7 linked regions of the Neurospora crassa OR74A genome follow. The protein of the gene in region 6 binds, or shares a complex with, the protein of the main gene of each other region. Links are inferred from orthologs where the notes say so. Each region holds a gene or a part of one and is shown on either strand. Other genes may lie near its edges. The genes, in order: NCU09880, NCU00505, NCU03625, NCU03778, NCU01614, NCU08395 and NCU06354.

Region 1 (3,701 bases), on a different chromosome or scaffold from region 6:
CGAGTGCGATGAAATCGTGTTCCTTGGCAAGGCGCGCGCGCCGCTCTTTGCGCTCGCGGATCTCGGCTTCGGTGAGGACATGGGCTGCTGGGGCATCGCCAGTGAGCGCTAGGGGCATGTCGCGGGATTGAACAATCATGGCGCCGTCAAGCTCAGAGGGGTCGAGGTCCATGGCGTCGCCCGTTGTCCCGGGCGCGGCAGATGCCTCCGGCAACGGTGCGCTGTGGGTTTTGAGGCTGTCGTCGTCATCGTCGTCGATGATGCTTAGCGAGGCGAGATTCTGTGGTGTGGCTGGCGTGGAGCTTTGGAGTTCTTCAAGGTATTCTTTGCTGTACCGAGGCTTCTCTTCGTCGGCGCCAAATGTGCCGAATCGTGCGGTCAGGGCGGACTTGCGAAGCGCGTTCTTCTCGGCAACTCGTTGGCTCAGCGACTTTTTGCTTGGGGCGCTGACCACGTCGCTGCTGGCAGTTGTTGTCGTATCATTGCCGCCATCTTCCGTGTCGCCCTCGCTGGCTCCGAATGATAGTTTTGAGATGCGCTTCTTCTTGCTGGAGACTGAGCGGCCGAAACCGGGCCGTACTACGAGCGGCACACCAGTGTCCTCCTCGGCTTCTGTTACCTCGGGTGCCGTACTTGTGCTGGTTGACGTAGGTTGGATTGCGTCGCCGCTGGTTTCTTGTGGATTATCGTTACCGTCGTTGATCTTGATCGTTCTTCGTAGTGACGAAGATTTAGTAGGCTTGCTGCGCCCAAACTTGGTCGGTCCTTGCGGTACTGGTTCTGTTCGAAGGCGTATCAGCTTGCTTGTTCTTTGGTTTGGTATCAGCACTGAGATTTTCTATGCTGGAAAGGGATGGGCATGGCCATATAGCAACTTACGTTCGTTCTTCGGCTCCTCTCCTCCAAGCACCGTAGGAAGGTCGCCATCCTCATCGTCAAAGGTCTGGATAATGCGTGGCTTGCGCTTTCCAAAAGAGCTCATTTTTGTGATGATCGACTTGAGTAAAGTGTAGAATGGAAGTAGGTTGTCTGACAGGGAGTTTGTAATACAGTGATGTAGTATTGAGGCGGGCGTGTTGTTTACAGGTAAGTTTGTAGTGCAAAAAGGTGTCCAGACAGCTAGGAAGCTTCGAAATGCACCCTGGAGAATGACGCTGGTGGGCGACTGGATGTCACCACTGCACTGAACACTGCAATCACCCAAAGACGGGCAACGCGAATTGCGGTTTCTTATCTTATCAGTGTCCCCACGTGATGGCCTGGCGGCCGAAAATCACTGGGGATGGTCGCGATTGCACGCGCTGCACAAGGCCCGCCTTCCAGGTTGTTTCAGTGGAGAGTTCCCAGCCAGAACGACGCCATTGCCATTCATTGCAGCAACTCTCTCGAGACCATCCCAGACAACCAACACAACCTCAAGATACAATGGCGCCCGCACAACCTGAACTGAAGAAGGTAAGAACTTACTCTTGGAGAATTGCCTTTCACGCTGAATGGCAGCTGGCTGGTCGAGACTATGCCATTGTCGCATCTCGAACTCCATGTTATTGTTTGTTTAGTATGGTGTAGTGAGCTAACCGACCACTTTCCAACCAGTACCTCGACAAGAGGCTCTTCGTCCAACTCAACGGCAGCCGCAAGGTCATTGGTGTTCTCCGTGGCTACGATGTACGAGATCTCCCCTTTACGAATTCGAACATGATGATTGACGGTTCGCGACGTCATAGGTCTTCTTGAACATTGTTTTGGACGATGCTGTTGAGGAGAAGGATGGTGGTGAGAAGGTCAAGCTTGGCATGGTGGTATGTTTATCATTGTAGAAAGGTGCTGACGTGTCTCCTGCTGACGAATGTGCACACAGACCATTCGTGGTAACTCCGTTGTGATGATGGAGGCTCTCGAGAGAATCGGCGGCGATGAGAGGGGAGGACAGCGCGGCTAATCAACAATCATCTTCTCGCAACACGATAAAACGACCCTGCGCATCTACAAACGCCTACATCAAAAGGCGAGGCATCGGAATAAGCGGATGGCAATTGACGGGATTTGACTATATACCAAGGCGATTTACACTTTACGACGACATCTACAGTGTTCCACGCGGTCTTGGACGGTGAAAAGCTAGGTGGGTTGGCTGGTACGGCGTTCAGTTTCACACGAGGCATGTATTCGGGAAAGCTGCATTATCTTCAACTTAGAAAGGGAAACATCTGCGGCGGTGGTCGAAGAAAAGATACCCAAAGGATTTTTTTGTTTTTCATCACGTACAGCTCTTCTCCGACAACAGCTGCTTCCACGTCTTCTCGTCATAACCGTCCACCATGCGGTCGCCGTACATCCGCACCCAGCCTCGAATCCCGCCCGTCATGACCTGCGACTGAAGATCGCCGCCTACTTCGTTGATATAGTCTTGCATCCAGGCGGCACATCGAGGGCCCCGACCAGCGGAGGAGCCTGGGGGAAGAAGCATCGGTGTTAGAGAGGGTCGGCGGTAGAGGTACGAGTTCAAAAGAGCATAGGATTGATTGGACTCTGTCCCAAGAGTCAATGACAGAGAAAGTCAAACACGTACCACAATAGAAGACCACCTTTTGGATCCCGGCCTGTTTGCACAAAGCGTACAAGCTCTTGCGCGTGGGGAAGAAGCTGTGGGCGGGCAGGTTGATTGATGAGCTGACAGTTCCCCCGGCGCAGTCTGTCCGGCGACAATCGACAAGCAGCAATCTGCGCGATTGGGGCATGTCATCGACATGTTCTTGCTGCTCAAGAAGCTCGAGGACAGTCTGGGGCTCGATATGGACCGGCGTCGAAGTTGGCTCTGGAAATGCTGCCCACCACGGTGTACCATCCTCGCGCCTAGCCATGCGCAAGCAGTGTTCGTGAACGTGTATCGTCATGTTGAGGCCGTTGCTGAGTTGGTTTCTCATTGACTGATTTCTTAGGTTAAGCGGAAGAAATGTACCGTTGATGCATTGTCCGGTATATGAAGGGCAGTCAGGGGTAAACTCTTTGTTTGCCACACTGGATTGGGGCGGCTCTGAGATCTAGTCACATCTTTCAGCAAGCCACGCCGCCAATACTCATCTCGCGGGACATGTCCTCGGCAGTCACGTCCTATCATAAATCACTTGTCTCGTACGATCGGATCCTCTGATGCCGTAGATGGGATACCGCATCCGGAGGTAGTCCTTCCTATCCTATTACTCCATGGAGTTTTTCAGGAGATCGCGGCTAAGGGGGGACGACAAGATGATTTCTTCACCAGCTCATCAACGCGACATACTGCCTGGTCTCGTCGCTTCTATGCAATTTAGTAACCATGAGCATGTTATTTTTCTTATTACCCATATTCATGCCCCTCGCCATTTACCCGTAGATAACTGATAGCTCCGACATCTTGGTTTACTCGGCCCGGCATATAGGGGGATATCACATAACGAATTGTTGAGGTGTGTAAGTTGCAGCACCAGGACACCTGCGACAAAGCGCACCAATCAATATACATGTCGTTGTATGGAAGATTGATAAAAGGTTAAACCACGGCGTTTATAAGGTATACAGTAGCAAGACGCTCCCTCCAACAGCCCAGCGACACCTGAGAGCTATTCTGATTTATACGTCACGGCGTAACTTCCACCAAAGAATGCCCACATCTCCCAAATCAGTCTGTGCTCGCTTCGTTGTTCCATTCATTCATCATA
Region 2 (3,252 bases), on a different chromosome or scaffold from region 6:
CCGTGTCTTGTGATCTGGTATCCATGGCCCTGTCCTCTCGGCGGGTGACCAGCTCTTCGGCCCTACGGGCTTTGTCTGGTTGGGCTGCACATCCTCATCCGTCCCCTGCCTTCTGTCCCTCGTCATTTATAAAGGTTGTGAGGCCGTGACTAACCCTCTCTTCGACTGTAGTCATCCACTACGAACCATTGACTTTACTGCGAGTTTGTCTCTTCGTTTGTCCGCATCGCTTCCACGGCGCATCGTCCTGAACACGAATCGACAACAAGAATTTTCCTCTACACGACATACCTTCACGGTCAAACTTTTCAACGCCGACATAGCGCCAGCCTAATCTTCCCAATGACATCCTTCGTTACAAATCTCTGGGAGTCGATCTTCACTCCGGGGCCGACTCCCACCCTCCTTATCGCGACAAATGTCACATTTGCCGCTCTGCAAATTGTCCTGGCGTGCCTCCTCTTTGCGACATGGAGTATCCACTTCGTAATTCTCTCGGCTCTCTGCGGTGGACTCTGGGGATCCATCAACTGGTTCGCGGCGGAACTGAAGGTGCACCAAATCCAAGAAGAGGAAAAGGCGAGAAGAGCCAAAGAAGCAGCGCCAACTCCAGTCACATCGGAAGACAGCGAAACAGAAGTAGAGGCAGCTACATCGACAGCTAGCCTCACGAGGCAGGAGTCAATTGCAGAGGCGGTCAGCCATGAGGTTGAGCCTATCCAGCAGATTGGAGAACTGAAGCACAGAGTGGTTGAGGAGACACCGAGCCTGGGCACTAAGAGCGGCGTCAGCACGGAAGATGAGTGGGAGAAGGTTTCGGAGAACGAGAACGAAAAGGACAAGTGAATATCCTGGCGATTGAGCGGGGACCGACCACACGCAGAACGTACAAGCGAATGTCGTGTTAGCGAAGTTACCATGGCATCCTGTAAATAGTGTCATGGTCCGCTTTCGTGTTGGAGTTGAGCGACGATGGCATTTACACATCCACCCTGTTTTCGTTCTTCATTGGATGAAAGGAGAGGCAGTTGAAGGCTGTAAGCCCTATGTTCGTTTCATAGTCCTTATCCTGCCATGAGGCATCATGATCTGTGCAACTACAGCTATAGCTTCAGAGACAAAGTCATAGTAAACAACACCTTGTTGTTCGGCGTGGCAGTTAGCCAGCCCATCTTCGTGTACCCCAATTATCTGGTTGCTTCAACTCAGCACATGAACAGATCATGTGCAGGGCAGGCAATTTATGGATAGCTTGAAACCCATGACTTCCAGGGTTAGGGGCTTTCAAGCCGCCGTTTGCCTGTTCAGCTCGGCTCACGTGATTGAGCACGGGCTCTATCTTGGCGCGTAGCGACGGCAGGCTATCTGCTCCACCCTGACGCTTGGATGGTTGTGCAAGCGTCCAAGGAAGCTCGACAAGCCTTCTCCCGTCGCGACTGTTGATTGACAAAGTAACAAGCTGGTAATCGAGACCTTGTCACCACCAATTCCATACAACACATATTCGATTACGCGTTGTCCAAATAAGTCAAGATGAAGCTGGTCAGGTAAGATTTCTCCTTGCTTTCTGATACTTCGCTACATGTACCCGATACCCCATCCCACCCGACTTCATTCCTATTCTCTTGCACGACGCATGCTGAGCTTTGAGTCCTCGCCTTCAAGGCTGCCAGCCCGTGTTCGCGCGCGTCCATGCTGCTCTACTAGAAAAAGAACACCAAGGGCACCAGGCTGACGAAGTGGAATCCGTTACTTCAACACTGCAGATTTTTGATGAAATGCGCCAACGAGACGGTGACGATTGAGTTGAAGAACGGCACAATTGTACACGGCACTATCGCCTCGGTCACACCCCGCATGGACACTGCGCTTCGCAACGTCAAGATGACCCCCAAGGGCCAGGACGCTGTGGCTCTAGATGCCATGAACATTAGGTAAATCAACCCTTTCAACTAAGGGGGAGTGGCCCTTTTCAGTTTTCGAGGGCATCACTAACTATTGAAACCCTACAGGGGCTCGACCATCCGTTACTTCATACTCCCCGATTCTTTGCCGCTCGATACATTGCTAGTTGATGATTCCGTGAAGCCCAAGAACAAGGCGAGAAAGGAAGCGGACCGCAGCGCCGGCGGCAGAGGTGGCCGTGGTGGCCGTGGCAGAGGAAGGGGAATGGGTCGCGGCCGCGGTCGTGGCCGTGGCTAAGCGGATCTCGTTTCTTTGGGATCGGCCACGGCGTACGTCTCCCTGGACGACAGAAACGTGCGAATTAGATTTTTTTTCAAAGACGATACGATGCTATACTACGGTTAATGGTGGATTTTTTTCGGTTTTTTATGCCCCCTTCGGTCGACCGGCTTGACCGTCTTGGTAGGGAAGATCAAGGCCGGCCCGAAATAACGTCCGGTGGCGACGACACGACAAAATCGACGATGAGTGCGCTTCAGAAAATCGAGGAGCATATCCCAGATCTTCACTTGAGCGACACTCGAGATTCACCTCATTCGCATCGAGTGTTACACACATAAACACCACTCCCCCTCATCGGATCGGAGCAGAGGGCAAGCATTGGGATTTCGTTGCGGCGTTCTGGACAGGATAAAATCACTTTGCTAGCGGGAAGGGAGAGAGAGAAAGGCGCGCCCAACCGCCACCGGAATGAACTATTTTATGTATCACAAAACAGATAGACGGCGATATATGCCTACTGGAGAAGGCGGCACAATCAGCAACTCTCTATACCAAATTTCCCCCAGAATTTTCGAGCCTTGTACGTGACTGACCATCGTCCTTCCCCCTCTTCCACCCTCTTCAACAGCTTCCTCCCCATCCTCAACTCATCACCAGCATCTCATCCCTCCATTCACCTCCAAACCCTCACAATCTGCAACTTCTCCCAACCCGCCTGCCTCCCACTAGTCCCCACCGTCTCTGCCTTCCACTTCCCTTCACCACCCATCACCCTGATCCTCCCTTTGACCTCCTCCGGCTTATTCTGCGCACAAAGCAGAATATACGCCACCCCCCTCTCGCTCAACACCCCCGGCAAGGCCTCAATCAGTCTATCCGTCGTCTCCATCCCATCCCTCCCTCCAGCATACGTCAACTCCAAGAGATGTGAGTCTTCCTCAAACGTCGTTTTCTCCTTCAGTGCCTGCAACCCTGTCGGTGGCGGCGCAGGCAAGTCAGGCGTAGGGACGTAGGGCGGGTTGAAGACTAGGACATCTACCGATCCGGGACGAAAGGGGGAGACGA
Region 3 (3,773 bases), on a different chromosome or scaffold from region 6:
GACCAGACCAGAGATCTTCCACTCGGAACTGAGATGTCATGTAGCGTCCAGCGCTAGAAGTTGGCAGACACCTCCTGGAGAGTGGTGAGACGTCCAATCAGGGCAAAGACGAGGACATGATGGTGGGAGGTGGGATGCAACCGGAGCTGCCGTCGAGCTTGTCAAAGCTTGCTAGTACCGCACCATCACCACACGATCCAGCTCACACAGCGAGATAACAAAGAAGGTGGAGAGAAAAGACCGAGAACTCGGAGCAACCAAGACGGAGGAGCAGACGCACACAGATCATGGTCTCTCGATGCACATGCATGCAGCCTATAACAGCCAGTGCTATGGAAGATCAGTCCACGCCAAACCCACCTGCCGCAGCTCGAGGTTGAGACGGTTAGTTGCCTCGCCCATTCAGCGGTGCCGGGGCGGTTCGTGGGGTTTGATCATAGGGTTTGGGCATCAAGCTGACAACACAGCAATTGGCCGGCGGCCCACTTGGCCAGCCCGTCACTGCGTTTTGAAAATGGGACAAGGCCAGATGGCCCCTTACTCGCTGGACTACGTAGCCGTGCAAGCCGTGGTCGTGGCCGACAGGGAGCGAGGATGGAGGCATGTATGTAGTAGCATGATGCAGAAGGACCCGGGTACGGCATCTCTCGGGGCGCGAGGAAGTCTGGAGAACGTCGAGGGGCGTTTTCTGTCCTGTATCACGTCCCGTCCTTGGCTGATAGGCAATGGCTAGACGAGGCCGTCGAGAATGTGGGAGTTGCTCGTCAACGGTTGGCTGGTGGTATGGGGCAAAGCGGGAGGGGAGTGACTGTCCAATATTCGGGGACAAGGGTGAATTGAGAACCGAAGGACCTCACATAATTCAGCGTATAGAACATCGAAGAAGGCCTCATTGAGAAAAAGGTTGGGGATGCTGTGTTCAATGCGTTGGACAATCCCATCCCCGTGACGGCCGCCATCATGCGACGACTCGGAACATGAGCCAGGAAAGTTGAGCGATAACGGCGTTCGGGGTGCTGAACCAGACAGTTCATACTTTGATTGAGTACAAGCGTATGACAGCAGGCCGGTAAATTCCACTTACTGCCAATGGGTTGAAGAAAGAAGGTTTATGTCAGTGACGATGACGAGGTTTTGGATGACCGAAGACCACCAGTTCACTGAATGTGGGGACAGCGCAGAAGAGGCGTGTGGGGAAGCCTCCACACTTCCTTGTAGTGTAGGACCTCAATGCGCGGTACGTACCGTGAGATCTGGCAGCTGTCTTGCAGCTGACAAGATCAACTAAGCTCTCCGACGAAATTCCCAGCAGCACCGGGCTGACAGGGCTGCCGCGTTCACGTCAAAGGCAACTGATCGCATCCACTATCATCGCGAACCAAGTCGCCTGTACTTACGGCATACCATCTAGGTAATCTCTAAAACCAACACCAAGAAAGATCAGTTCGCCCCTCCACATCGCCAACCAACCTCACCACGTAATAACACAGCCGCCAACATGACTTCCACAATTGGTATCCCCATCAAGCTCCTCAATGAGGCTCAGGTAAGTAAACACCATTGCTATGCACAGACTGTAGTGCTGCCAAAAGCTAACCAACCACTCCTGTCCCACAGGGCCATATCGTCACTCTCGAGATCACCTCCGGCCAGACCTACCGTGGCAAGCTTATCGAAGGTACTGCTAACCCCCATGAACTCTTCATTCCCATTCACTCCTCTAAACTGGCCAGCCATGCTAACCAATGCGCTCCCCCGCAAAACAGCCGAGGACAACATGAACGTCCAACTCAAGGACATCACCGTCACAGCCCGCGACGGGCGCGTCAGCCATCTCGAACAAGTCTACATCCGCGGCAGTCATGTGCGATTCTTTATTGTGCCGGATATGTTGAGGTACGTTCAAACCAGGCCACCACCAACTCATCCGTTGCGATTCTTCTCCCCAGTTGCCCCCTACCTACCCAATAAGTCGGATAGGACCCAAGCTAATCATTTCCTCCTCCTCTTTTTTTTGTGTTCCCATACAGAAACGCCCCCATGTTCCGCTCCCGCAACGTCCGCGGCCGCGGTGTCGGTCTCGCCCGCGGTCGTGCGACAGTCAGTAGGGCGCGCGCCGGTGGTCGTGGCGGCGCCAGATAGAAGACAGCGAGCGCCGCCTGTCGTCAGACTCATCGACCAAGACCAGACCCAGACCGAGAATCATTGAAAATTTCACAACGGAATGCAATATTGGGGCACAATAATCGGCATATTATGGCTCCTTTTTTTTTTCCGCGCGCAACGACAACCGCTATTTTGATATTTTAGGCGTTTTGGGTGGGGGGAACCAATAAAGCAAACTTTGATCTTCTTTCTACCGAAAATGGGGGGCAGCGAGTTGGATGGAAAGAGAAAAGTGTGGGGGGCAAGCTTTGGATGCCCAGAGAAGGAGGAACAGGAGGGATAGGGAGGAGGGTGGCTCAAGGCCGGCCAGAGATGAGAAGGGACTGGAGTGAGTGCTGGGGCTGGGATTGGAGGGTTGAGAGCCTCGATGAGGAGTGATATGGAGGACGCCAGCTGGCCCCGCTCATCCATCTGCTGCCAAATGATGATCATGGGAGAAGCGTGGCGTATCCAGGGGTTTTCACGCTCCGCCAGCTGGACGATAATGGTCGGTCGATGCAACAGCCGCTACCCGTCCGTCAGCACGCAACGAAAACCTGGCTTCATCACGGTTAGCAGCCAGAGCGAACCAGGTGTTCAGCCAGCCTCAGGTCTCCCCCCAGTTGAGTCCTTGGCCAAGGAGCGAGCACATACAGCATGGATCGAATCGCACCGAAAGCGAAACTCCTACTAGCCCTGGTTCTGATATAGACAGGGTACGTATTCAACGTCTTTGTCTATTATGTTGTTGTACACACAACCCATTCCATCTTCAGCCTACGCTGACAGTTTTTGATATCTACCACAAAAGTCCGATGCCCCCTTTTTACTCCCACTTCGGCTTGCTTTTTTAATGGTACATAAGAGTGTAGCCCTGGTTGATCTGTTGCGTCCGCCGGTTCTAACCCGCCTGTCCCTATATGTGAGGCTCGCATAAGACGAGCTTGCAACAATGCTCTGAGTGAGAGTGAATCGTGTAGACTAAATATACAACTGGCTGTTTAAGGGTTGAGTTGGAGAGGGCATATTGTCAAAACACCCACCTAAGGGACTAACAGGCAGGGCGAGAGGGCTGTGGAAAATAATAAGCACAAGAAGTCCGAAACTGACCAAGTTCGGTTTGCAGAATGTCCTTCTAAACATCTGTTGCAACCCATCATTTCTACTTCAGCCTCGCAAGCGCTTCCTCGGCCCGCTTGAGGACACTCTTGGCCTCCTTCAGCTCCTCAATCTCAACCGCCACATCCTCGGGAACTTCAGGAGAAACGCTATCCAGCACCTCGGCAATGCTGGCTTCGGTTGCGCGAATAGCCTTGCGTCCTTCCTCACGAACCTCGCCCTCCCAGAAATCTCTCGCCCTCTCCCACCTTTTCTGCAAGCCCCTCAAACTCAAAACAATACCCAAGGCGGCGACGGCTCCACACTCATATATTCCGAATCCAGAGAGCCAGGACATGCCGCCGAGTGCCGTGGTGGCTCCCGCTAATGTTGATGACTGTAGCACGAGCTTCTGCGCCAGTGCTTGCAGGGCCGGAACAGTTTCCGCTAGTAGATAGTTTCTTGTGAAGGGGATATGCGCAGGCCAATTTCCCTTGGTCTCTGATTCCGTAGTAGCAGCAGTAGTAGCA
Region 4 (3,197 bases), on a different chromosome or scaffold from region 6:
CCCTCGGCGTTCTGCTTGGCCAGCGCGGCAACATCACCACCGGCGCAGAAGGCCTTCTCTCCGGAGCCCTTGATGACGATGACGTTGGCCATATCGGAGCGTTCCCATTCGAGGAGACGGGGCGCGATCTTGCGGATCATGGAGCCATTGAGGGCGTTGTACTTGGCTGGGCGGTTGAGCTCGACGGAGCGGAGATTATATAGACTGTTGAAGAGGACATCCTCGGGCTCGTCACCCTCGACGGGCTTGAACAACTCGGCGGCGGCTTGGGTCGAGATCTGGGAGGAGGGGGCGGCGAGCGTGTTAGCTGTGTCCGTGTCCATGGCTTTTGTCTTCCCAAGGAGCGTCTTACTGGGGCCTGCTGGCCCAGGACTTTGGCTCTGAGCGGCATCGCGGTGAAGCTTGGTCGGCAGCTGCGAGAAGCAACAGCAGAAGCCAAGCCGGCGCGGCTGGCAATGGACTTGGAGACCAACATCGATGTACACTTCGGTAATTGGCTGGCTGGCTGGCTTTGTCTAGAATAGGAATGGAATAACAAGACCCAGGGTCAATATGGAAGAAAAATACTAAGTCCAAAATCCACCCCGAGGCTGTTTAGCACCGTTGTTGCATCATAGACCGGCCAAGGGACTCGGGCACTTTTTTTCGGGACTCGTTTTCCTGGGCTGGGAAAGGGAAAACGGGAGAACAATCACCAATGATCTGAATGCCGCGTGGATGCAGGAACCGTGATAAGTGATAGCGAGAGTATCTGCAAATCCACTTTTTGCTGGAATTCAACGCGAAATGGAGCTCCAGCTTCAATTGATTTTCAAGGGCACCGCGCCTGGCAATCCCCGGGGCGGGGTTAGGTACGGGGGAGCTAATACATAGTGTAGAGGTAGCTGTGGAACCTGCCGAATCCCCGCCGCTATCGCTAGAAGCTGGAATATCCTCCGGCCGATGATACCTCTATCCATTCAAACTTGTCATTTTCCAGAAGCGACGCTCGGGCCCTCCGCTCACTGGAAACCCGATGTCCCGGCTGTCCGGGGGAGCATGTCGGGTTCGGCGGGGCTGGCAGCACCTGTCACCGGAGCGGTCCTCAGCCTTTCGCATTGGGATCCACCGTGAGCTTGTCATCCAATCGCCAAACTTTGAAGACGGTTCTGTTCCCAGAAAAGCTTGGCGCGTGTGCTGTAGCTGCTCCACGCTCCGAGTCGCCGCCGCGCCTGGCCCTCCGCTGCTGCAACATTTCCCGTCGTGGATTGAAGATAGCGATAGCATCCATTACAGCAACTATTGTCCAGGCTTCTACCGTACACCACCAACCCATACCACGCGAAGCAACCACTCGACGTCAACAACCATTTTTGATACAAAGACAAAACTACAACTCATTTGCCCCTCCTACATTTCAGTACCACTCCAATTCAACTCTAGACCAAAACACCATCGTCATGGCTTCAGCGGATGCAAAGATTCAGTCAGTAGCTATCCCACTCTCCAGCATCAACCCATGTGCGCGGGCAGCCCATGGACGCTTCAAGGAAACCAACTTGACTAACAACTGTCTACTATACAGGGAGCTTCTCACGAAGCCGCGCAATGAGCTTACGTACGTTATATCCTCTTGTCAACATCACCTCCCTCTGTTACCATCGTCATCTCGCCCGCCCTGCTGCTCCCAGCTCCTCCTCTTTGCGACCCAAGACCACGACGCCCGCCCAGCCAAATCACAAAGCTAACCAACTCGTCTGATACAGTGAATACGAAGTTTCTCTCCTCGAAGAGCACGAGTTCTCCGCCGGTCCTCTGGTACATATGCCCCATAAGCCTTGATCTACCACCCCTTCGACACGGAGCAGCGACTAATATGACACCCTTTTTGGCAGTCCATCCTCCAGACCGCCGTCCGCAGCCACTCCCAAGTCCTCATTTCCGTCCGCAATGGGCGCAAGATCCTTGCGCGCGTCAAGGCTTTCGATCGCCACATGAACATGGTGCTGGAGAACGTCAAGGAGATGTGGACCGAGACGCCCCGACTGGCCAATGGCAAGAAGGGCAAGCCCGTAAACAAGGACAGGTTTATCAGCAAGATGTTTGTGCACTTCCTTTTCATCTGTTGTTTCTCTCGCCCAGGAGAAGCGAAGATCAATGGCTGACATGTTTCACTTTCCTGGCAGGTTCCTGAGAGGCGACTCCGTCATCCTTGTCCTCCTCAGCTAGTTCACGAATAGCACGGCAAAATGTATAGGTTGGAGGTTTATTTCACTTGCACGGCGAAGACACGCGCCAGCACAACTTAGGGTTAATGGCTCGAATGGAGTGGGGATGAGCCCGGGAAGGGTACCTATTGTTGGTCGACTGAATCGAGAGACATGCGGACTATATCACCTTACTACTACTCAACCGCTCGATCGACCATGATGACGACACAACCACGAAAGCAATTCAAAACGCCCCGTGAAAAGGCGCCGCGCAGGAACGAGAGGAAAGAAGAGAAACCCAAGCAGATTTTCAGGGGCTATTAGGAAGGTCATACAAAGGGAAAACTAGTGTGAGCTCGGCGTTCAAACGTGTATTTGGTTTTGTTTAACTTTTTATCTTTCATTTCTGGTAACTTGATCGAACAGAATACCCAGACCGTGTTTAGGTTTTCGCAGACGCGGTCATGTTTTCTCGTGCTTTTTAACGACAAGCAACGGGATGATTTGTATTGGTGTTCCTGGTACGTCATTGAAATGGTGGTGCAAACTAACTACCTAGGGGTATATCGAGATCACATACAGCACCAATTCTTACGGCAATTCCGCCTCTCTTGTAACCTCCTCCCATCCATCATCCGATCCCTTGGCCTGCTTAGCACTGGAATCATCAGCCTTTTCAATTCCAGCCAGTCCAAGGAAGAACTTGGCCAATCCCCAAGCGCCCGGATCCGGCACCTGCTCGAATCCGGACCCGCCAATGTAGACGGTGCGGCCCAACTTGGCCTTCATACCCTTGGTGCCCTCAGCTCCCTGCTTGGCAGCCTCGGCCGCCTTCTTCACATCACCGGTCTTTTCGAGCGCATCGACAAAGGGATAGAGGGCATCAACCAGGGTGCGGTCACCGGGACGAGCGGGCGTGTACTTGGACAGGGCCTCACAGCTCAGTTTGAGGGCTGCGGCCCAGGCATTTTCATCAGCAGCTTTCTTGTCCGACTCCCCTCCACCGAC
Region 5 (3,413 bases), on a different chromosome or scaffold from region 6:
CACCGGCGACCTAGCCAAGATGACATGCGAAGCCCTGATCAGCCTGGCATCGCGCCGGGGGCATCGGCCCAAGACCATGGCGCGCCAAGCGCGCGAGGCTAAGGCGCGGGAACAGAAGCATAAAGAAGCCGAAGACGCGTGGGACGGCAGCGTGCCGGATATGGCGGATCCGATTTCTGCTGAGGAGCAGGCTAGGCTTGATATCTTGGAGGCGATTGTAGAAGGGTGGTCGTCTGGTACTTCCAAAACGGGTGAAGAGGATGTAAGGATCCGTGCCTCTGCGTTGTCAATTCTGGCGAATTGCATCGAGACGAATATTGTTGGTGTCGCGGCGGTGTTGACGATGGCGAGCGTGGATCTGTGCATTAATGTTGTGCAGGTAGAGCGGCAGCTGGAGAAGGGGATACTCAGGAGGGCGGCGGTGAGGCTGATTATGAGCTTTATCAAGGCCATGGACGAGGCGAAGCACGAGGGGAGGGTGTTGGGGATTGCGTTTGGGAGTGAGACGCAGGAGCAGCTGAGGACGATTTTGGGGTATGTGGAGCAGACGGACGAGGATGGGTTGGTCAGGGAGTATTGTCGGGATGTGCTGGAGAGCTTGGAGAATTGGAAGACGAATAGCTTGGTGGATGAAGTGTCGTTGAGCCAGGCAAGAGGAGGAGGGTTCGGTGGTGGTGGGTTAACGAAGCTGGCTGGGTTGGTTGTCGACCCGGAGAGGTCGGTTTCCCATGGTGGTGATGATAGTGGTGGAAGTAGTGGCGGTGTTGAGATGTTCGGCGGTAGACCTAGGATTGAGGAGATTGAGTAAAATATCTTCACCCAGTATGGGACTTTATTAATTCAAAATGACTTCCTGTCAGGTCCTGAACAGTCCCCTTCCATTTCGTTTCAAAACATCGGCGTCTTCGAGGGTCTTGACCTGAAGGTGTAAGTGGGCATCGGAAATAATCAGGGAGAGATGTCACCAGGTAAACTTGAGTGAAGAAGTGAAAGAATACACTAAGCTATGTACCTGAGTAATGATAAGCAAAAGGATCGCCATAAAGGTCTTGGTGATGCTCATCATCGTCGCTGTCAACAACATCAAGTATCCTCTAGCCACCAACCCTAACCCTGTAATCTACTAATCAGACAGGCTTATTGCCACGTCCAATCAGCTATCGCGTTAGGGCTCCACATGTCCCTCGTAACAGAGGAACTTCCATCGTCGCGCTACTCCAACGCCGCAAAGGTCCAGCATTGGAGGCACAGTCCCAGTTGGAGCTTCTTCCATCATAGCATCAACGCCAATCCCATCTCTCTTCCCAACTTTTCATAACCATAACCTCGACCTTGTTGCGTCCACCCGACCACAACCCACTCTTACACATCTAAGAAAACCGACAAATACAAAATTCCATTAGCACCAAGCCGAATCGCGAATCCAACTTTCGAGCCGTCCCATCGACGACAACAACAACAACAACAACAGCAAGCCTGTGAATACACACACAAGGCGCCACGCACTTGACCAAGAACCAACCCTTCGAACCGAAACCGACAACATGTCTTTTGTCCCAGTTAACCCCCGTCCCTTCCTTCAAGATCTCGTCAACAGCTTTGTGACGATCCGCTTGAAGTGGGGAGAGACGGAGTATGTTGGCCGTCTTGTTGTACGTATATATATACATATCCAGCATCTTTCTTCCAATCTAGCCTTCCCTTTGCCGCTGGACTTTGGTCTTGGCATACACAGCTGTGGGAAGCGATGGGGAGGGGAGGGGAGGGGGAAACCAGCAGGCAGGACCAAGGAGCAACGAAGGAAGAACAAAGAGAGAGAGGCTGACGAAATGCGTGTGTGCATGTGAACAACAGAGCATCGATAGCTACATGAACATTCAGCTCAGCGACACAAAGGAGTACATCAACCGCAAGTTTACGGGCGCCTTGGGGCAGGTTCTGATCAGGTACGTCCATACTGAATACATCCCACTGCTACGGCTTTCCATACGGACGACCCAATCCCCCATCTCGTATCAACTAGCCGGGATGCTGACATTATGGACTTCAACAATAGGTGTAACAACGTTCTCTACATCAAGAAGGCCGACGAGGCGGAAACAAGTGGCGACGTCAAGATGGAAGAGTGAAAGTTCTCTCGCCACCAGGAGGAGGAAATGAAAGGGTAGCCTAGACTAGCGGGCAGGGTGGTGAAGGGCGCGATTTGCAGAACAGACAGGAGGAATGTGTGAGGAGGGAGGGTCGTGATGTTCCGACTATAATACCCTGGGAGGAAAAAAGAAGAAGAAGAAGAGATGGATCTACTCTACCGACCAAACCAAACCGAGCCGAACCGAAGCACAAACCACAACGCACCCGCTCGCCGAAAACTCGTTTCCCAATGATGAAAGTGTGCGCTTCACGAAAGGTGCGACAACAGCTTTGATGATATCGGGCGCGCATGGTGTGGAGAGTGGTACGGAAGGGCGGATTTGCTTCAAGAGAGAGTGAACGGTGGATGGATGGATGGATGGGTACCGAGCGTCTCTCTGTCTGGTAGAGACCTTCGTTGCATCTCCTGCGCAAGACCGTCAAAGGAGCATGTGCCATCTGGCCTTTCCTTGAAGATAAAGGCTAAAATAAGATGTTGGAACAATACTCAGCTTAACAGGAAAGAAAGAAACAAAAATCTGTCAAGACCACACATCATCTAGGTACTGAGCAAAGAAAAGGAAGTGGCGGGTTGAGTTAGACATGCGGACATGGCGTCTGGTTTCCAGGTATTATTTCAACTGAAAGAAAAAGAGAACGAGCGGCGTGAATTTCTGTTAGTCTCAACTTCCACTTGCCTATACATCACACGACTACAGGCAAAGACAGTCACCATCATCATACACATCGCGCGCCTTCCCAATTATGAACATTCTATCCACCATTTGACTTCGAATCTTTTATTCTTTCGCTAAAACAAGACTTTTGACCTTTTCCTCGCAGCGTTTGTTACAGCTGCATACTTACACACTCCTAACACCCGACCTAGCCAGCCTTGCCCACCACCTACTGGTACCTAGTTACCTCCGTTTTTACATTTCCTCTCTTCTAACCAAAAATGCAGGCAACCTTACGACTGCTATGCATCTCAGAAGCGCCAACCTTGATACGGGTCTTGGGACCCACCCAAGCATACACTTCAACCATCCACTCGTACCACACCCTGGTGTCGTCGGTCTGGCGCCACATGCTGACTTCTAGCTCGGTGTCCTGAGGGAAGTAGAGGGGTTGCTATGTATCGTCGAAGAAACAGGGTCAGTAATCGTCACCAAAGCAGGAGCGAGGAGCGAAAAGTCAAGAAAAACAAGAAATGAAGGAAGAAGAGATAAAAACTCACCCTAAGAGGGAAGAAAATCGGGAACCAGGAAATCATGTCCTTGCTC
Region 6 (4,183 bases):
CCCGCCCCCATACTACCTCCTCTCACAGTTCCAAAACAATCCCGAAGAGCCGTACTGCAAAGGCTGCGGCAAGCTCATTGACCCCAAGCGCACCTTTGGCACCACTGGAGCTCCCGCGTCAACTGCTGCAAGCCAGAAGCAGGGAGCAGGCAAAAGCAAGGGATTCAAGCGTGGCGGTAAAGACCAGGACAAGGAAGACGAGAAGCCAGGCCAACTCCAGCAACAGGAAGTCAGCAGGTTCTGCACGTCGAGATGTCGCAGTGAGTCCCAACACAAGAAGCGGGACATAAAAGAGCAGGAAAGGCAGATCGAGGAGACGTACGTCAAGTTGTTGCAGGGGCAGATGGTGGACGGTATGGAGCAACTTGCCGATGGCCAAGCGGACGGGAAGAAGAAGGGGAAGAATGGTGGAGTGAAGCCAAAGAAGGGAGAGGGAAGAGTGGTAACGCTGGAAGAGGTGGAGACAATTGTCTTCGGAAGGGAGAAGGACGCCGAAAAGGTGTATGGGAGGAAGAAGAACCGGAAGTCGAGGGCCTTGACAAGCGTGGGGCCCAATGACGAGGACACTATTACCTCTACAGACGAAGAGTCTCAGTCAACCTCAACAAAAGCCGGCAGACCATCGAGTAGAGATTCGGCAATCGGCGGCATCCAGATTGATGCTCTGCAGTTGGGCGACAAAGCTTTTGACGATGAGATAGCCCCGCTACCCAAGGGCAAATCCCATCCGTACACCACGGGCGGCCATGAGGTCGCTCGTCTGGCTGTCCGCAGCGGCACGCGCATTCGTCCTCCCCAAGAGGTCTCCGAAGTGAACGGCAGCGTGGGCGGAGAAAAGGGCCGGGCGGAGCGGAAGGCAGAAAGCGAGGAAATGAAGGAAGAAATCAGACAGAAGAAAGCGGAGGGGGACAGAAAGGCGCAACAAAAGGAGATGATCAAGTCGGTGGCGAGAAGAGGAGTGGTGTTTGGGTTTGATGTGCCGTCTTCTCCTGATGGCAACAAGAAAACGTGCGAGTGCGTGATGCCAGGAGGCAAGGTCGTCGAGCCACACTTTGCCAAGGGTAATTGGGGAATTCGATGGAGGGGTGACTAAAGTGTACCTTGCCGCACTTGGACAAGTACAACTAAGTTCGCGGGAGTGATAAAACTTTATGTCAGAGTAAACGAATGAACCAGAGACAAAGTACTATGTAGAACGGTGACGACGACGAGGTTGGTGATGAGTGAACCAAAGTCGCAGCTGCACACGGCACGCCAAGTGGAAGCCCGTCCTCCCTTGGTTCCGGCCAGTTCGATGTCTTATCGATAAGGTGCTTATTATGTAAGCCAGCCGTAGAGGTTAGGTTGTGTAAGTAGCAGTGGGGAATTTCGACGAGCTTCGACCGCAGTCGCGTCGCAATCGACATCATCATCATCCATCGTCTCTCAACATTCGATTTCTTGTTCAACCATTTACACCCTCTACGGGATTTCGCCCTCTGATTTTCGCCATATCCGACATTGATATCAATAGTAATCGTTCACGGAACCACCGAATCTCGCTCAACAACTTCCACAATCACCATGGGCTCCATCGTCCTTCCCCATCTCGAGACCGGCTGGCACGTCGACCAAGCCATTCTAAGCGAAGACGAGCGTGTGGTGGTTATCCGTTTCGGCCGCGATCACAGCCCCGACTGCATGCGCCAAGATGAAGTACTCTATCGCATCGCCGACAAGGTCAAGAACTTTGCAGTCATGTACGTCTCCCTCCGGCCTCGATCCCACTCTTCCATCAACACCTGCTGACCCATCGCCACACCACCAGTTACCTCTGCGATATTGACAAGGTTCCTGATTTCAACCAGATGTACGAGTTATACGACGAATGCACCCTCATGTTGTAAGTACTACTTCGGCCTGATCACCATTTTGAGTTGCGAGACAGTCACTGACAATCTTTGGTTGCACAGCTTCTTCCGAAATAAACACATGATGATTGATCTCGGCACCGGTGACAACAACAAGATCAAATGGGTACTGGAAGACAAACAAGAACTGATCGATATCATCGAGACGGTCTACCGCGGCGCGAAGAAGGGACGCGGTTTGGTGGTTAGTCCCAAGGATTACTCGACCAGACATCGCTACTAGAAGGGCGAATAACGACAGGAGCAACAACAACAACAACAACAACAACGAGAACGACTCCCCAAGATCTGGCAGACGCAAAATTCCGCGGTACGGGGTTTACTCGACGAAGTAACAACAAGTTCAAGGCGAAGCGACAGAGGAGGGTTTCTGGAGGCTGCTGGGGAGCCTGGAGTTGGTTCCCGTGACTCAGCCCTGCTCTGGAATTCATTTACCACGGGCATCTTGCGGCGTAATCAAATGGATAAACGGCTGTTAACTCGGCGACGAATAAGTGATGGTTGGCTTGGGCCCACGCCGAGCCGCGAGCTGCCTTTGAGGAATTAGCACGCGAGCGTGGAAAAAAAACAAAGGCAAGCGGAACCATATCGATTGGGCATCGAATGTACCTAGCTAATGCTGAGCAGAACCGGCCAGAGAAATTGATTCCATCGTACCTACCGACGGAATCCTTGCGATACCGTCCAAGTGATTCATCACTGTTCACTGGGCTGCACGTGAATGTTCACGGAATGCCATAGGCTGTTTTACAGGCTTGTCCTTTACAGGCCTCGTTGGTGATATCTTGAGGATCCGAAACCGAGACTGGCGCTGCTCGGTATCTCTGTATCGTACCACCCCGTTACTCGGGGATGGCGAGATCGACAATTGCCGTCCCGTTTCAGCGGAATCGCGATATTCGCAGATCTGCAGTTCAGTCCAGGGTGTACGGCTGGCAGAACCTTCATGCTATTCTAGTTCTTGGATAGCAAGAGATGGACTCGTCCAACCCCCTGGACAGCATCATTGTCTGTCACTGACCGTTCCCTTGGTACAGTAGGATCTGAAACATAAACATTGTTCGCACGTATCACATGTCACCTAATACCCAAAACGAGTGGCACCTTTGTCACACAGACGGCATCGGGAATGACAAACAATGAAAGTACCTCAACCATTCGGAAGCCACTCTGTTCTCGGTGTCAGCCTCTTTCGCGATGGCGCTCTTCGTTTTTCAATGCCATGCATAGGCGCAAAGACGTTTTCCGGGCGGGCGGTCTAAACCCAATCCTGAAAGGGGCGTTATGGGTGCGTGTGAAGCGACCGGGCAGCCGTTGGTTTGGCGGGTTTCAGGGGTAAGGGTTGGGGGGGGGGGGGGGGGGGGGCTCAACTTTATTTTCGCTTCACCGGTTCCCTCTTTCTCCCCGTCACAGTGAAGAAGGCGATGGGCTTTTTGGACGCTTTGACAAAATGACGAGAATTTCAAGCTCTGGAAACGATCCGTCCACAACGTCATCGGGAGTCCTGGCTTTGGAATGATATGTCGAAGTGTAGTTTGGTTTCTTCTCTTTTTTTTTGAACTGGTCCACTATGGGGTATCAGGTCTCGTCTTTCTCTTCCTTTCAAGCCTGATGACAACCGAACGTTTCCCGTTAGCATTGTACAACTGCGGTGAGGGTGGCTTTGTGTTCCAACCATATGTTTCTTTGCCATCTGGCCATGGACAGGAAAAGGAGACAAACAACTACCAAGGCGCAATACTACCGCCCCTTTCCCATTTCATACACGTCATTTCTTCAATCGCATCTTAAACAGTATACTCCGGTTCTAGCATACTCTGCATACTCATCCTCTCGAATGGCCCTCGCTCGGGATAGGCGTAAAGAGTACCCAAATGATGCAGAATCGGCAATGTCAAAAGCTGTGTAACTTGGTCTCGAATCTGGTCAGGGGGCGACGAGGGCATGGAGGGGTCCAGGTCCAGCTCCCTTTTCCCACCAAGGCGGCCCGCCTTCAGGGGTCTCCCTGCCCGCCCGGCTTGCTGCCTCCATTTGGTGCCTGCCCGCCGTTAGTTAGAGCCTAGAGGTAGCCGGGGGCCGCTGAGCGTTATGTATCGCTGTCTCCGTCAGTGCCGCCCTCGCTCCCTGTTCACGGCATCCCTGTCTGTCCCTGCACTGGTTTGGCGGTGCCTCCACTGTTTGGCTGGCGACCACAGTCTGGGACTCCCCGTCGTACGAGACCAAAATAATGTGGTGAAACCAGCTGCACCGTTGATTGATCATTTTCCTGTCGT
Region 7 (2,751 bases), on a different chromosome or scaffold from region 6:
TTGCGTTGCGAGGTCGTAGGTAATCTGAGAATCGTGAATGTCAGCGGTGCGCGACATACAAGCGTAGCGGTATCGTCGTGATCCAATGGGTATCTGTAAGTACCTTGCCCTTCAGTGTCGTTGCTGCGAAGAGTTGCGCCTCGGCTTCGGGAGAGCCCTGCAAGATCGATATTGTGGTAGTCCAGGCCTCGTTCTACGGTCGATTGAGAAATGCGGGTTAGTCACATGCGAACCATAGGTGTGTTGGCGTCGAAGGAGCTGAAAGCCCAACTGACCGACTTCTGAAACTTTTGCAGGTAGTCCATGGCGGCCTTCTTGGAACCGGAGTCACCACTCCGCATCGTCAGCATGGCCTGCAGGACATTTGGGGTGGTGAAGCCGTCTGTGGCGCCGTTGGAAGCCATGTTGGGCAGCTTCGGATTGTGTATGATGTGATTTAGCTCGAATACAAGTGTTGTGATGGCAAGTGTTGCGATGCGGTGTTGCAAGTGGAAGCTATCGCTGGGGTATCGCAGGTCGCAAAGTGGATGGATCAGCCCCTCCTATTCGACAGGAGTGTTGTCCGACTTATCGGTCTTGCGACGCGATGGAAGCTTTCAGGATATGTTGTTGTAAAGGCGAGGAGCTGCGATGCGCACGGGGTATATGAAGCTCCAGAGAGGTTGCAAGAATAAAGGACTGGGAGGTATTGTACGGTGCCGCCGTGGTGACAGGATTGCTGCAAGTTGGAGGTTGCCGGCGACGATTTGCTCTTGAGCGTCCAAAGAAACGACGATTGAAAAACATCCCGCCAACAATCGAAGAACGTCAGGCTGCCTGACACCGACCGACCGCGAGTGGAGTAAACGGCGGCGGGCAAGCGGGTCAAAGAAAGTGGAAGCACATCCTGCACCGCCATAAGTGGGACAAGCGGGAGGGGCTCATGCTACCCCAAACTGAAGATTCTGTGGCTTGAGAACCCAAGCAGCTCGGAAAAAGTGAATTGAGCTGAATGCCAAGAGGTTATGACACGACGCTGTGGGCCCAGCAGCATGTAACTAAGTGCACAGACCAGCTGAGCAGCTCCCGTCCCGTCCCCGGCGGGAGGTGCTTGTGAAAACAAGAGCTCCACACGCCAGAGACAGACAGGCAGGCAATTCGACATTCGGGGGAAATTCATTGAAGTCACGTCCCGGCCGTAGAGAGAACGCGTCTGGGAACAACTGCAAGCCAAGCCCAGCCGACCAACAACGACCATCCACAACTTGATTGCGACTTACTTGTTCAGCCTCCACATCACCATCAAACTTCTGTCCTAAACACCGGCCAAACGACCAAACCACAACAAACTTTTATTCTCAACATGACCGGCAGAGGTGGTGGCGGCAACCGCCGTGTTCTTCTTCCTCCCATCAACTTCCTCTTCCGTCTTTTGCAACAACACTCGACCGTCCAAATCTGGCTGTACGAGCAGCTTCACATTCGCATCATCGGCACCATTCGTGTAGGATTCTCCATCGTGACCTCCCCGAAGAGCAAACATAGGTGCTGACAATTCCGTCTTACAGGGCTTCGACGAGTTCATGAACCTGGTGGTGAGTAGCGGCGCATGTCCCACTAGCACTACGAGACCTAACCCCATTTCCACAGATCGACAATGCGATTGAGGTCAAGCTGGTCTCCAAGACAAACGAGACGGAGGAGAGGAGGGAGCTTGGGGTAAGAATATGTTTAGGGCTGGACGTCGATGTTGTTGTGGCAGTGGAAAGGGTGGCTAACTGGGTCGCAGCAAATCCTCCTGAAGGGCGACAATGTCTCGCTCATCCAGAGCTACTCCGGGTGAAGAGCTCCAAACCTGAAGGAGAAGCGGTAATCGACGATGCAATTTACGCTGGGACCTACATCGAGCGACGAGCCAGCAGATCTAAAGCTGTACATAGACGGCCCACAAAGATGTGGTGCGTGGCCTTCTACACAACAAACGACACCGAATCTACGAAAGAGATACCAGGGAAAAGCGATTGGCCGAGGCGCACAGGAATGTCGACTATATGTATTTGATCAAAGGAAGGCAGTACGGGATGGATATCAGGTCATGGAACTATTTGGGTGCAGGAGGGCTCTTAATCTCGCCATTTCCGAGTATCAGGCCGTCCAGAGGTTGATCGTGGCGACCAACAGGTACCGACCCCTCGGATGGAGAGGATAGAAACTGCTCAGACAGCGCTAAGCCATAAAGCAATACAGGGGTTTCCTGCTTCCCCAGCTCGACAGACTTTTGGTTGTGCCGGTTGATGAAGTAGTCGTAGAAGCCTTTGCCGTGTCCGAGCCGTCTGATGGCCCCAGCTTCCGGGTCAATGTCGAAGGCCACGCCGGGCATGAGGATCAAGTCAAGCAGGGTTTGGTCGGAGTGGTGGGCGTCGGGACCTCCAAACACCCTCTGCCGCTCATGGACCGTGGCCGGGTCGATGCTGGGAATGCCCCATCTGTCTGGCTTGAGGGACTCATAGTCGTGAAGATCTCTGAGGCGGACCATGTCCATGACGCGGGCTGGGAGGTTGGGCGAGGCCAGAGGGTTCTTGTGAAGATACGGGATGAAAACCTCCTTGCCGGACTCTAGAGCGTGCCTGACGATGCCATCGGTCTGGATCTCGCCCGTGGGCATGGACAGGAACACGCTGACCCGTTTGGCGTCTACGTAGGGCTTGAAGTTCCTCAGAGTGTTGAAGACCACAGAACCTGCAATTGCGGATTTAGTCTGCGCTGGCAGTA

Evidence for each region.
Region 1: NCU08395 (region 6) and NCU09880 share a complex: the UniProt entries of both Saccharomyces cerevisiae proteins name them as parts of the U4/U6-U5 tri-snRNP complex. The link is inferred for Neurospora crassa OR74A from reciprocal best matches to the Saccharomyces cerevisiae genes DIB1 and SMX2.
Region 2: NCU08395 (region 6) and NCU00505 share a complex: the UniProt entries of both Saccharomyces cerevisiae proteins name them as parts of the U4/U6-U5 tri-snRNP complex. The link is inferred for Neurospora crassa OR74A from reciprocal best matches to the Saccharomyces cerevisiae genes DIB1 and SMD1.
Region 3: NCU08395 (region 6) and NCU03625 share a complex: the UniProt entries of both Saccharomyces cerevisiae proteins name them as parts of the U4/U6-U5 tri-snRNP complex. The link is inferred for Neurospora crassa OR74A from reciprocal best matches to the Saccharomyces cerevisiae genes DIB1 and SMD3.
Region 4: NCU08395 (region 6) and NCU03778 share a complex: the UniProt entries of both Saccharomyces cerevisiae proteins name them as parts of the U4/U6-U5 tri-snRNP complex. The link is inferred for Neurospora crassa OR74A from reciprocal best matches to the Saccharomyces cerevisiae genes DIB1 and SMD2.
Region 5: NCU08395 (region 6) and NCU01614 share a complex: the UniProt entries of both Saccharomyces cerevisiae proteins name them as parts of the U4/U6-U5 tri-snRNP complex. The link is inferred for Neurospora crassa OR74A from reciprocal best matches to the Saccharomyces cerevisiae genes DIB1 and SMX3.
Region 7: NCU08395 (region 6) and NCU06354 share a complex: the UniProt entries of both Saccharomyces cerevisiae proteins name them as parts of the U4/U6-U5 tri-snRNP complex. The link is inferred for Neurospora crassa OR74A from reciprocal best matches to the Saccharomyces cerevisiae genes DIB1 and SME1.

Annotation. Positions count from the first base shown.
Region 1 is NC_026501.1:6,357,876-6,361,576, reverse strand, and holds NCU09880 (small nuclear ribonucleoprotein SmG), read left to right. Parts: upstream 1-1,311; 5' UTR 1,312-1,425; coding exon 1,426-1,455; intron 1,456-1,596; coding exon 1,597-1,668; intron 1,669-1,727; coding exon 1,728-1,802; intron 1,803-1,861; coding exon 1,862-1,942; 3' UTR 1,943-2,260; coding exon of another isoform or gene 2,261-2,454; 3' UTR 2,455-2,572; coding exon of another isoform or gene 2,573-2,897; 3' UTR 2,898-3,201; downstream 3,202-3,701. Other genes in the region: NCU09879 (hypothetical protein), read right to left, coding at 1-780, 880-982; NCU10125 (hypothetical protein), read right to left, coding at 2,261-2,454, 2,573-2,897; NCU09881 (hypothetical protein), read right to left, coding at 3,690-3,701. UniProt on the Saccharomyces cerevisiae protein: Plays a role in pre-mRNA splicing as a core component of the spliceosomal U1, U2, U4 and U5 small nuclear ribonucleoproteins (snRNPs), the building blocks of the spliceosome.
Region 2 is NC_026501.1:8,193,101-8,196,352, forward strand, and holds NCU00505 (small nuclear ribonucleoprotein Sm D1), read left to right. Parts: upstream 1-1,406; 5' UTR 1,407-1,533; coding exon 1,534-1,547; intron 1,548-1,665; exon of another isoform or gene 1,666-1,766; coding exon 1,767-1,934; intron 1,935-2,012; coding exon 2,013-2,202; 3' UTR 2,203-2,752; downstream 2,753-3,252. Other genes in the region: pkr1 (ER membrane protein), read left to right, coding at 343-846; NCU00504 (hypothetical protein), read right to left, coding at 2,861-3,252. UniProt on the Saccharomyces cerevisiae protein: lays a role in pre-mRNA splicing as a core component of the spliceosomal U1, U2, U4 and U5 small nuclear ribonucleoproteins (snRNPs), the building blocks of the spliceosome. Also binds telomerase RNA and is required for its accumulation.
Region 3 is NC_026505.1:1,887,150-1,890,922, reverse strand, and holds NCU03625 (small nuclear ribonucleoprotein Sm D3), read left to right. Parts: upstream 1-1,314; 5' UTR 1,315-1,498; coding exon 1,499-1,546; intron 1,547-1,617; coding exon 1,618-1,678; intron 1,679-1,766; coding exon 1,767-1,896; intron 1,897-2,030; coding exon 2,031-2,142; 3' UTR 2,143-3,273; downstream 3,274-3,773. Other genes in the region: NCU03624 (hypothetical protein), read right to left, coding at 3,308-3,773. UniProt on the Saccharomyces cerevisiae protein: Plays a role in pre-mRNA splicing as a core component of the spliceosomal U1, U2, U4 and U5 small nuclear ribonucleoproteins (snRNPs), the building blocks of the spliceosome. Also binds telomerase RNA and is required for its accumulation.
Region 4 is NC_026505.1:2,382,706-2,385,902, forward strand, and holds NCU03778 (small nuclear ribonucleoprotein Sm D2), read left to right. Parts: upstream 1-1,227; 5' UTR 1,228-1,439; coding exon 1,440-1,465; intron 1,466-1,564; coding exon 1,565-1,597; intron 1,598-1,745; coding exon 1,746-1,797; intron 1,798-1,874; coding exon 1,875-2,080; intron 2,081-2,165; coding exon 2,166-2,208; 3' UTR 2,209-2,697; downstream 2,698-3,197. Other genes in the region: NCU03777 (mitochondrial 3-hydroxyisobutyryl-CoA hydrolase), read right to left, coding at 1-278, 353-475; dak-1 (dihydroxyacetone kinase 1), read right to left, coding at 2,781-3,197. UniProt on the Saccharomyces cerevisiae protein: Plays a role in pre-mRNA splicing as a core component of the spliceosomal U1, U2, U4 and U5 small nuclear ribonucleoproteins (snRNPs), the building blocks of the spliceosome.
Region 5 is NC_026502.1:2,951,739-2,955,151, forward strand, and holds NCU01614 (hypothetical protein), read left to right. Parts: upstream 1-1,233; 5' UTR 1,234-1,544; coding exon 1,545-1,652; intron 1,653-1,854; coding exon 1,855-1,946; intron 1,947-2,056; coding exon 2,057-2,129; 3' UTR 2,130-2,913; downstream 2,914-3,413. Other genes in the region: NCU01615 (hypothetical protein), read left to right, coding at 1-808; pp-2 (protein arginine N-methyltransferase HSL7), read right to left, coding at 3,079-3,261, 3,368-3,413. UniProt on the Saccharomyces cerevisiae protein: Plays a role in pre-mRNA splicing as a core component of the spliceosomal U1, U2, U4 and U5 small nuclear ribonucleoproteins (snRNPs), the building blocks of the spliceosome.
Region 6 is NC_026507.1:1,106,290-1,110,472, reverse strand, and holds NCU08395 (pre-mRNA splicing factor Dim1), read left to right. Parts: upstream 1-1,383; 5' UTR 1,384-1,563; coding exon 1,564-1,739; intron 1,740-1,807; coding exon 1,808-1,882; intron 1,883-1,952; coding exon 1,953-2,133; 3' UTR 2,134-2,483; exon of another isoform or gene 2,484-2,537; 3' UTR 2,538-3,713; downstream 3,714-4,183. Other genes in the region: NCU12034 (hypothetical protein), read left to right, coding at 1-1,093. UniProt on the Saccharomyces cerevisiae protein: Essential role in pre-mRNA splicing. Also essential for entry into mitosis (G2/M progression) as well as for chromosome segregation during mitosis.
Region 7 is NC_026504.1:2,807,277-2,810,027, forward strand, and holds NCU06354 (small nuclear ribonucleoprotein E), read left to right. Parts: upstream 1-1,173; 5' UTR 1,174-1,342; coding exon 1,343-1,483; intron 1,484-1,547; coding exon 1,548-1,574; intron 1,575-1,629; coding exon 1,630-1,698; intron 1,699-1,768; coding exon 1,769-1,822; 3' UTR 1,823-2,080; downstream 2,081-2,751. Other genes in the region: NCU06355 (karyopherin), read right to left, coding at 1-24, 104-193, 276-404; NCU06353 (hypothetical protein), read right to left, coding at 2,081-2,718. UniProt on the Saccharomyces cerevisiae protein: Involved in pre-mRNA splicing. Binds and is required for the stability of snRNA U1, U2, U4 and U5 which contain a highly conserved structural motif called the Sm binding site. Involved in cap modification.